2 linked regions of the Oryctolagus cuniculus genome follow. The main gene of each other region encodes a partner of the protein of the gene in region 2 in a complex. Links are inferred from orthologs where the notes say so. Each region holds a gene or a part of one and is shown on either strand. Other genes may lie near its edges.

What was found.
Region 1: the proteins of MYO3B (region 2) and espin are in contact, whole or in part, in a crystal structure (PDB 5ET1), measured with the Mus musculus proteins. The link is inferred for Oryctolagus cuniculus from reciprocal best matches to the Homo sapiens genes MYO3B and ESPN. Residues at the interface, in XP_017174528.1 of Mus musculus: Arg1223, Arg1224, Gln1226, Gln1227, Pro1228, Lys1229, Met1230, Leu1231, Ser1232, Ser1233, Asp1236, Thr1237, Met1238, Tyr1239, Tyr1240, Asn1241, Gln1242, Leu1243; in NP_997570.1 of Mus musculus: Leu35, Ala37, His41, Arg45, Ala67, Asn69, Ala71, His75, Asp76, Ala79, Thr80, Asp101, Ser103, Leu110, Arg113, Phe114, Thr135, Thr137, Ala139, His143, Tyr144, Ala147, Thr169, Asn171, Tyr177, Leu178, Gln181, Ala203, Asp205, Met207.

The regions. Positions count from the first base shown.
Region 1 is NC_091438.1:161,062,086-161,065,888, forward strand, and holds part of espin, read right to left. Parts: intron 639-3,803; coding exon 452-638; intron 360-451; coding exon 177-359; intron 87-176; coding exon 1-86. UniProt on the Homo sapiens protein: Multifunctional actin-bundling protein. Plays a major role in regulating the organization, dimension, dynamics and signaling capacities of the actin filament-rich microvilli in the mechanosensory and chemosensory cells.
Region 2 is NC_091434.1:70,939,849-70,944,354, forward strand, and holds the start of MYO3B (myosin-IIIb), read right to left. Parts: upstream 3,015-4,506; 5' UTR 2,665-3,014; coding exon 2,615-2,664; intron 2,607-2,614; exon of another isoform or gene 1-2,606.

The sequences.
Region 1 (3,803 bases), on a different chromosome or scaffold from region 2:
TTGTAGTCCGACAGGTCGGCGGCCGTGTACCCGTCGCGGTCGCGGGCGTCCAGCTCCGCGCCGTTCACCACCAGGATCTGGCAGCACTGCAGGGGGCACGCAGTGAGGACCTCGCGCAGGCTGGGACCGCGCGCGCCCCCCCCCCGCCCTCTGCCCCGCCCCCCGGGCGCCCGGACCTCCAGCTCCCCGTTCTCGGCGGCGTCATGCAGCGGGGTCCCGCCCCACAGGTCCGCCGAGATCTCGCCGCCGTGCAGCAGGAGCCAGCTGAGCACCTTGGCGTGGCCGCGGCTCGCCGCGAAGTGCATGGCCGTGGCGCCATCCTTGTCCTGCTCCGACAGGCTCACGTCGGTACTGCTCACCTGGGCGGGAAGGGGCGTGGGCTGGAGGACAGGCCCCACCCCGGCCCCGCCCGCCCCTGCGCCCCGCCCCTGCGCCCCGCCCCGCCGCTCACCAGCCACACGATGATCGGGCTGTGGCCCATCTGCGCGGCCGCGTGCAGCGGGGTCATGCCGTCGTGGGCGCGCGCGTGCGGGTCCGCGCCGCACTCCTGCACCAGGTACTGCGTCACCTCCAGGTGGCCCTCCTGGCACGCCAGGTACAGGGGCGTGGCACCGTTCTTGGTCTGGGCATTCACTCCCCTGCGGAGACGCAGCGCCCACACGGTGGGCGGTCACCAAGTGTCTGACCCTCTGCCTTTGTCCTTAGTCCTCCTCCATCGGAACTGCCTCTGCGCACACACACACACACACACACACACACACCGGCCTGATTCCCACCGACAGAACAGACCCCGCCACTCTGCCCCGCCTGCCCTGTGCCTACTCCATGGCCAGTGTGCGGCTGACCATGGGTGAGTCTGGCCTGAGCCGGCAGCTGACCACAACACAGATGCTCAGTCAAATCTGAACAAACAAATAATGTCCTGCACACACCAAATATCGCACGGGCAGATGTATGTTAAAACATTATTTATCTGACATTCAAAGTTAATACTGGGTTTTGTTCTTGTTCATCTGGTGACCCTATGGGGTGGGAAGTATGCCACTGCGTGCCATGGTTCTACCAGGCAAGTTCTTTTTTTAAAAATGTTGATTTATTTCCATCTACTTGGATGGGAGGGAAGGGGGGGGAGGGAGAGAGAGAGAGATCTTCCCTCTGTTGGTTCTCTCCCCAGATGCCCACAACAGCCAGGGCGGGGCCAGGCAGGAGTCAGGCGCCTGGAACTGCATGTGGGTCTCCAGAGTGAGTGGCGGGCGCCAAGCACTGCCATCACCTGCTGTCATCTGGCATGCTTTAGCAGGAGGCTGGATTGGCGGTGGGACAGCCAGGACTCGAACCCGCACCCGGATAGGCACTGCTGGGGGGCAAGCAGTGGCTTGACACCAGGCCACAGTGCCTGCCCCAGGCAGATTCTCCGAAGTTCTCCTGCCATTCCCCGTTTTGCAGAGGGGGAGTTGAAGATAAGGCCCGTGTTGCTAAAGGCCGCACAGCTGGTGAGCGGTGTGAGTGCCCATCTGTCTGTGGGATGCATGGCCTGGCAGATGGGAGGGAAGAGGTGAAAGAGAGGAGAGTATGTGAGACCATAGCCCCCTAGGGCCTCTCCTTGATGCACTGCCTCTCATCCTGGCTCCCACAGCCCAGAGGGGTGCTAACAGAACTGGAACGCTGGGCTGGTCCCTAGGCTGATAGGTGCCGATGGAGTGCAGTTACCACAGTGGGGCACTAGGTGGAGCCACAATCCATTCCCCCACCAGACCCAGGAGTGCCCATCCCTTCAGGTGGAGTGGCTCAAGGTGGGGGCTGGGTGCTGTTCTGCTCTGACCAGCCCTCTCGGCCCCAGAAAAAGGTAATTCTTCAACCGGCTTCACATCCTCCCCTTCATCTGCCTCCCCCCAATCTGTCCATCAATGACATACTGCACCCCCACTCATCAAGGCCTTCACTCACTCCAACTGCTGGCCTCCATCTGTCCATCAACACTCACACCACGCCCCCCTCCTCCTCCATCTGCCCACCCAGCATAACTGGCCCCTCCCCACACACCGGGTCCCGCCCCCTGCCCAGAATCTCCACCCCCTTCCCTGTCCCCAGATCACCCCAGGCACCCACTTGCTGCTCTTGCCCTCCTCCTGGCATGGGCCATCCCCTTTGTAGGGCCCCGTGCTGTGTCAGGAGTTTGGGAGGAGCGGGTGCCAGGCCTGGCTCTCACTGTGTACACCCCAGAGCGGACAGCAGCCTGGGTCCTGCCCACAGGGTGCTCAGCCCCACGCCCCTCGCCCACACGCGCAGCCTGCTGCCGCAGCAGGAACTGCCTGTTGAATATTTCATGGGCGGCACTCAGCGGCCTGAATTATTCACCCCGTAACCAAGGCGCAGCAAATGCCGGGGTCCTGGGATCAGGGGCAGAGGGGACTGGCTTCTCTCTGGGGGTCCCAGGCAGTGTACAAGGACGGCCAGATCCGCAGCGGCCCCCGCCTGCAGGCCTGAGCAGCTGGCACAGCAGGACCAGAGAGAGCAGCAGGGCCAGCGGTGCCCACGGCCTCCCTCCAGGCCCCCACTGCCGTTCCCCACAGGGTCCCTGGCACGCAGGAAGCACTGTGCCAGCTTATCTCTGCCACCGTTAGCATCAGCCCCGGGCACTCACGACCCTGTTGGAGACATGGGCGGATGGGCTGAGGGGCCATGGTAAAGCCAGGGTCCCAGCCTTGCTCTCCTCTGCTCGCCTGGCCTGGTGGCCAGCAGACAGACGGGGACCCTCAGTCTCACTGGGGAAAATTCAAAAATCGTGGAGGACCGAGGACCAAGAGAAGAGAGTCCCCCCTCCCCCCGCCACTGGCGAGAGGAGTGAGTGGCTGAGCTCCAAGCTCTGCGGTGGGTGTGACGCACGCATCCCCTCACGCAGCCTCCACCACCGTGTGGGGCGGGTGCCAGCCGTGCTCCCCTTTCACAGATAAGCAGACTGAGGCACAAGGGCCCAAGATCCCTCGAGAAAGAGACATGAGCTGGCTCTGATTCCAGCTGTGCTGTGTCCACACCGTGCTGCCCCATCTGTCTGTCCGTCTCCCTCTCCCCTCCCTCTGCCCTCCTGCTCGGAGCTCACTCAGCTCTGTGTGGCCCTGGGGCGTGGCTGGGGGCTCTCCACGGGAGGGCCAGACTCAGACGAGGAGGCTCTGGCACGAAGCCCACCCCCACACTGTGCTCCTGTCTGGCCACCTTGCCCAGCCCACCTGTGACCTGCAATGGACATTCTGGGCCTGTGGGCTGGACCTGAGATACACCTGCACAGGCCTGGCGCCAGGCACACCCCTGGGGGCAGCCATTACGATACTGTAGGAATTCTCCTCCCTAAGCCCGGAGGGGACAGCCCCAGGGGCCCACTGCTGGCCTGGGGTGTCCAGGCCCTGCCAAGCACAGGTCAGGCCGGGCGCCACTCCTGATAGGAGGACAGGGCTGCAGGGGAGACCTCTGACCTCCAGACCCCTGCCCAGCTGTAGCCCAGGAGTTCTCGCCCCATCCACAGCGACAGCCACAGGAGTGCAGGGACCAAGCCCCGCCAGGGGGTTCAGCAGAGCCCTCAACCTGTCCACCGGCTTTGGGGACGCCCGCGCCGACTTCCACCTCCCTCCCCGGCCAGGCCTTCTCAGCTTCCTTTTCTGGGCCCTGGGTCCCCTCTTGACCTCCAGCATGGCTGCCGCCTCCTTTGTAAGGGGCTCCTTCCCTGGTAGGGCGGCCCTGTCCCCCGCCAGAGACGGTTTGCGAGCCCACTGTTGCTCACCTCTCCAGCTCAGGCCTGGGTTCTCCAC
Region 2 (4,506 bases):
AAGAAGAAAATTATCACAACACTTAGAATATTCTACCATCCAAATATACTAACTCCTAACTGTAAACATCTCTGCAGACACACACACACACACACACACACACACACAATGTATAGCTATGTTGGCATATTCCGCAAGGTAGAAGATCCAGTTTTTAACCCAATTACCCCATTAATTCCTTTCTTTTTGTTATTTTAAAAAATTATCTACTTGAAAGGTAGAGAGAGAGACAGAGAGACAGAGGTTGATTTTCCATCTGCTGGTTCACTCTTCAAATGGCTGCAAAAGCCAAAGCTGGGCCACTCTGAAGTCAGGAGCCAGAAATTCTATCCTGGTCTCTCAACATGGGAGGCAGTGGCCCAAGCACTTGGGCCATCTTCTGTTGCCTTCCCAGGCCATTAGCAGGAAGCTGGATCAGAATAGGAGTAACCGGGACTTGAAACAGTACTCTGGATACAGGATGCTGGCATTCCAAATTGCAGTTTAACCTACTGCACCACAACGTTAACCCCTCTTTTAAGAGCTTCCATCAGTCATGAAACATGACACACTTGCTCAATCCTTGTCCTCGTCGTCTACAGTATTAGCCATTGATCACCACTGCCATCTTTCTACAACACTCTCTCCTCTTTGTTTCCTCTACATCTTACTTTTATGGTTTCTATGTCTCATCACTTCCTGTGCCAACTTCCATTCTCCACATAAAGATGGACATTCAACCAAAGTCCTGCTGTAAGTCCTCCACTTGCCTTCCAAGTGTCTGATCTACACCAAAGCTTTTAAGCTATCTGTCTTGGCTGGTGCCGGTGACTCCCTCTCTGCAACTCTATTTCCTCTACTAAGGTTCTAGCCCAGTACAGCTGTGGTTTTGTTTTCCAAGGTTTCAGTTACCTGTGGTCAACTGCAATCCAAAAGCATTAAATTTAGTAACAAACTTATTCCACAATAAGCAATTCCTAAGTTTTAAATTGCATGCCATTCTGAGTAGTGTAATAAAATCCCCCACCATTATGCTCCATCCCTCCTGGAAAGTGAATCATCCTTTTGTCCTGCACAGCCATTCTATACTCACTACCAGCCCAACATCACTTCCAGCCATCTCACATATGAGATTGACTATTGCACTATCAACAAGGCTCATGCTCAAGTAAGCCTTTCATAGCAGCCTAACACCACATCACAATGTCTATACCATTGACCTTGCCCTCTCTCTCATGCAGGCTTTCTACCTGTAGGTGAGGGTGTGGGGAGAATGGTCAGGGTTCAAACCATGCCACCTGCAAACCAGAAGCAAGGATTCCTCCACGTTGCCTAGGCAGCTTGCTCAACTTTGTGCACAGCACTGCACCTGTCAGGAACACAGGGCTCAGCACGCTGTCACTCAGCCAGGAGAGCAGCTCGGAGCCCCAGGGCCCCGTAAGCTCACAGAGCAGGCAGGGAAAGATAAGTGGGCATGGCACTGAGCATTTTTTAAAAAGACTTATTAGAAACTCAGATCAAAGTTATCATCTTCATGGGCTGGTGATAATGCCATTTGTCAGTTTGGCTTCTTTCTCAATATAGCTTCTGTAGATGAAGGCTCCATTTTGCTACTGAAATGTAGATTTCATTAATAGAAATAACCAAACTTTCCAAAAGCCATGAATAACTTGAACAGCGCCCCTGGAAAGAATACATTCTGGAAGCTGCTTCTGCAAGGGTAGGCAACCCAGCCCGGGGCCTTAGAAGGTGGGGGAAATCACTGGGTCTGGCCCAGCCAAGGCAATTGAAGGATGGACTTGAAAAGCCATCAACCTGCAGCCGGCTACTGTTGAAAGCCAAAGCGTGACGTCATAAATATAAAATGGCCCTTTCCCACCCCCGGTAGAGAAACTACTCCAAGGTAATGCCATCTTGGGCTCTATCATAAAGCCAAACAGAAAACAAGCTGGCTTGACCATGGAACGCCACATAGGATGGGAAGGAGAGCTTTCAAATACACAAGATTTCTCAATTCCCTCAAGTTCCAGGTTCCCTCACAACTACGGAGTTAATCAATGAACTCCCCTGGTGCGTGGACATTAAGTTCTGTCAACTCCACTCGAAAAACTCATTCATGACCCAAGCACCTTTTATCACTATCCTCCTCCCAGGGCTACCACAAGCCACCAATGGGCCTTTTTGGGGAAATTAGAGGAAGGCGCTGGAGCTGGCCCTCGGCACCCCTCTGCACCGCAGCCCAGCCGGCCGCCTGGTAGCCCATCGGGTCTGCCCCTGGCCCAAACGCAGCCTCTGTGTTCGGCTCCAGCGTCTGTCCTTGTTCCCGGCCCCACAGGCTACTCGCCGCAGCCCCACTAAAAGGCCCCTTCAGGAAGCTCTGTTAAATGCATAGCACGCGCAGAGTGAGGTCCAGCATCCCCTGCTGTAAGCCACGAGGCCCTGCAGCCCCGGCTGCCATACCAGCTCCTCTCCGACCTCCCCCTCACGCCGCCATGGTGGCCCCTCTTCCCAGTTCACCCAGCGGATTCCAACCCTCACAGTGCCCTCGGCCTGGGGCAGATCCTGACTCCATTCCCTCCAGGGCCCCATAGCAACCTCCTTCTCCGCATTTAGGCGTCTGCTCATGTAGTTCTACCTCCAAGGAAACTTCTGGTGGAGGGATCCGGATCCAGCTAGGATTTCCATCCGGAGGGAGAGGGAACAGCGTGGTGGTGCAGGGGGCTAAGCTGCCCTGGCGGCACCAGCATCCTATATGGGAATGCTCAGCTAGTCCTGGCTACTCTGCTTGTGATCCAGCTCCCTGCTAATGCTCCTGGGAGGAAGCATCAAGTCTTCCATGTGGGAGACCTCTATGGAGTTCCAGGCTCCTGGCCCTGCCCTGGCTGTTCCAGGCATTTGGGGAGTGAGCCAGTAGAAGGAAGTTCTCTTTCTCTAGCTCTGCCTTTTAAATAAATAAATAGATAGATCTTTAAAAAAAAATTAAGGTTAGGGCCCACAGATTTCTAGGGCTGAGGAGGAAGACTGCAGCCAGAGTGGGGAAGTCAGACTCCGGAACCGCCGGGAGCCAGGGGCGGGACTTCCTGTGGAGCTTGTGGGTGGGGTGGGTACTGCCGGACCCCAGCCAAGCAGGGAGCCAATGAAGCCAGGAAAATCCCACGATCCTAACAGAAGGGCTCCCTCCTCCGCGGGGAAGACGATTAAAGAACCAGGCCCAGCTGCTGCTGAAAGGGCTCATAGCCACGCAGCCAGGGTAATTCCAGAACAAGAAAAATGAGGGATTTCTTCCCTAGCGGCGTGGAACCTGCGCTGAGCTGGAAGCCAGAAGACCTGGGATTCAGTGGCAGGCTTGTATTTCTGTGATCCTGGCCAGTTTTCCAAGTCTCTTTGTGACGGGGTTTCCTCATCTGAAAAGTGAGGAGGTTGAGCTAATCACAGGTTTTCCAAAGTTCGCCCCCAGGCACCCTCACTGTGCTTATTCAAACCCAGAACTGCTGACCCCGAACCTCCAGGGCAGAGACCCAGGTGGATCCTCAAGTTTCCTTCTACCACTTTCTATGAATTTCAAATCTTAAACATATACAAATATTGAGAGAGAAAAGAACCGTAACATAATGGGATATATCGAATACCATTCAAACTGTCATGTTACCAGATTGCCCAATCAGTCATATGTTGCAGTCACTAAGGAACAATATATGCCCATAGCTATGACAAATGATTAACTACATGATCAGATTTTTCACTTCCTCACCAAAGCATAGGGAAATCTCAGCTTTAGCTGCCTTAAATCTTCCTGAGTGAAACACATTAAAAAAAAAAAAAACCAACTGCAATTTGCTGATGACTAATGCCCTTGAATTTGGCCTCAAGCTGAGAAATTCTGTGCAGAAATAAAGTGGTTTATAATCCCATGGCTCCGTTCTATTATGAACTGCAGGTGGCAAATCAAGTGGCTATGAAGTGTTTTGTGTGTGTGTGTGTGTGTGTGAGAGAGAGAGAGAGAGAGAGAGAGAGGGAGAGAGAGAGAGAGAATCAGTACCCAAGAAAGATATTTCTCCTGTTCTTTTCATGGGAATTTAACAACTCAGACAGAAGGCAGATGCTCACTGGGAAATCCCAGGAATCCGAGTGATGCCTGACAGGAGCCGGAGGCGTGAGTGGCCGTCACCCCCTTTGCCTGCCCAGCAGGCAGGGCAGAGCACCTGCCCTTTGCAGAAAAGCAATCTAAAGCAAGCACAGGAGGAAGCTGGAAAGAAAATAACCGCAACTCACATCGATGACCTATTTTCTGAATCCGGCTTATGTGAGATTGGATTTTCATTCCTCCAAAAAAACAGCAGAACACTTCAGGCCCAGAAAGTGGTGTCTTGGAGGAGAGCACTGACCAGAATGTATGACACATCGTCACCAAAGGACTTGCATCTGGCCAAGGTCCCAAGGGGTACTAACCTCCCACAGCTGTCGTGGGACGGGCTGATAAATGGCCCAATCCCTGGTGGCTTTGCCCTGCTCTTAGCCAAGATTAAC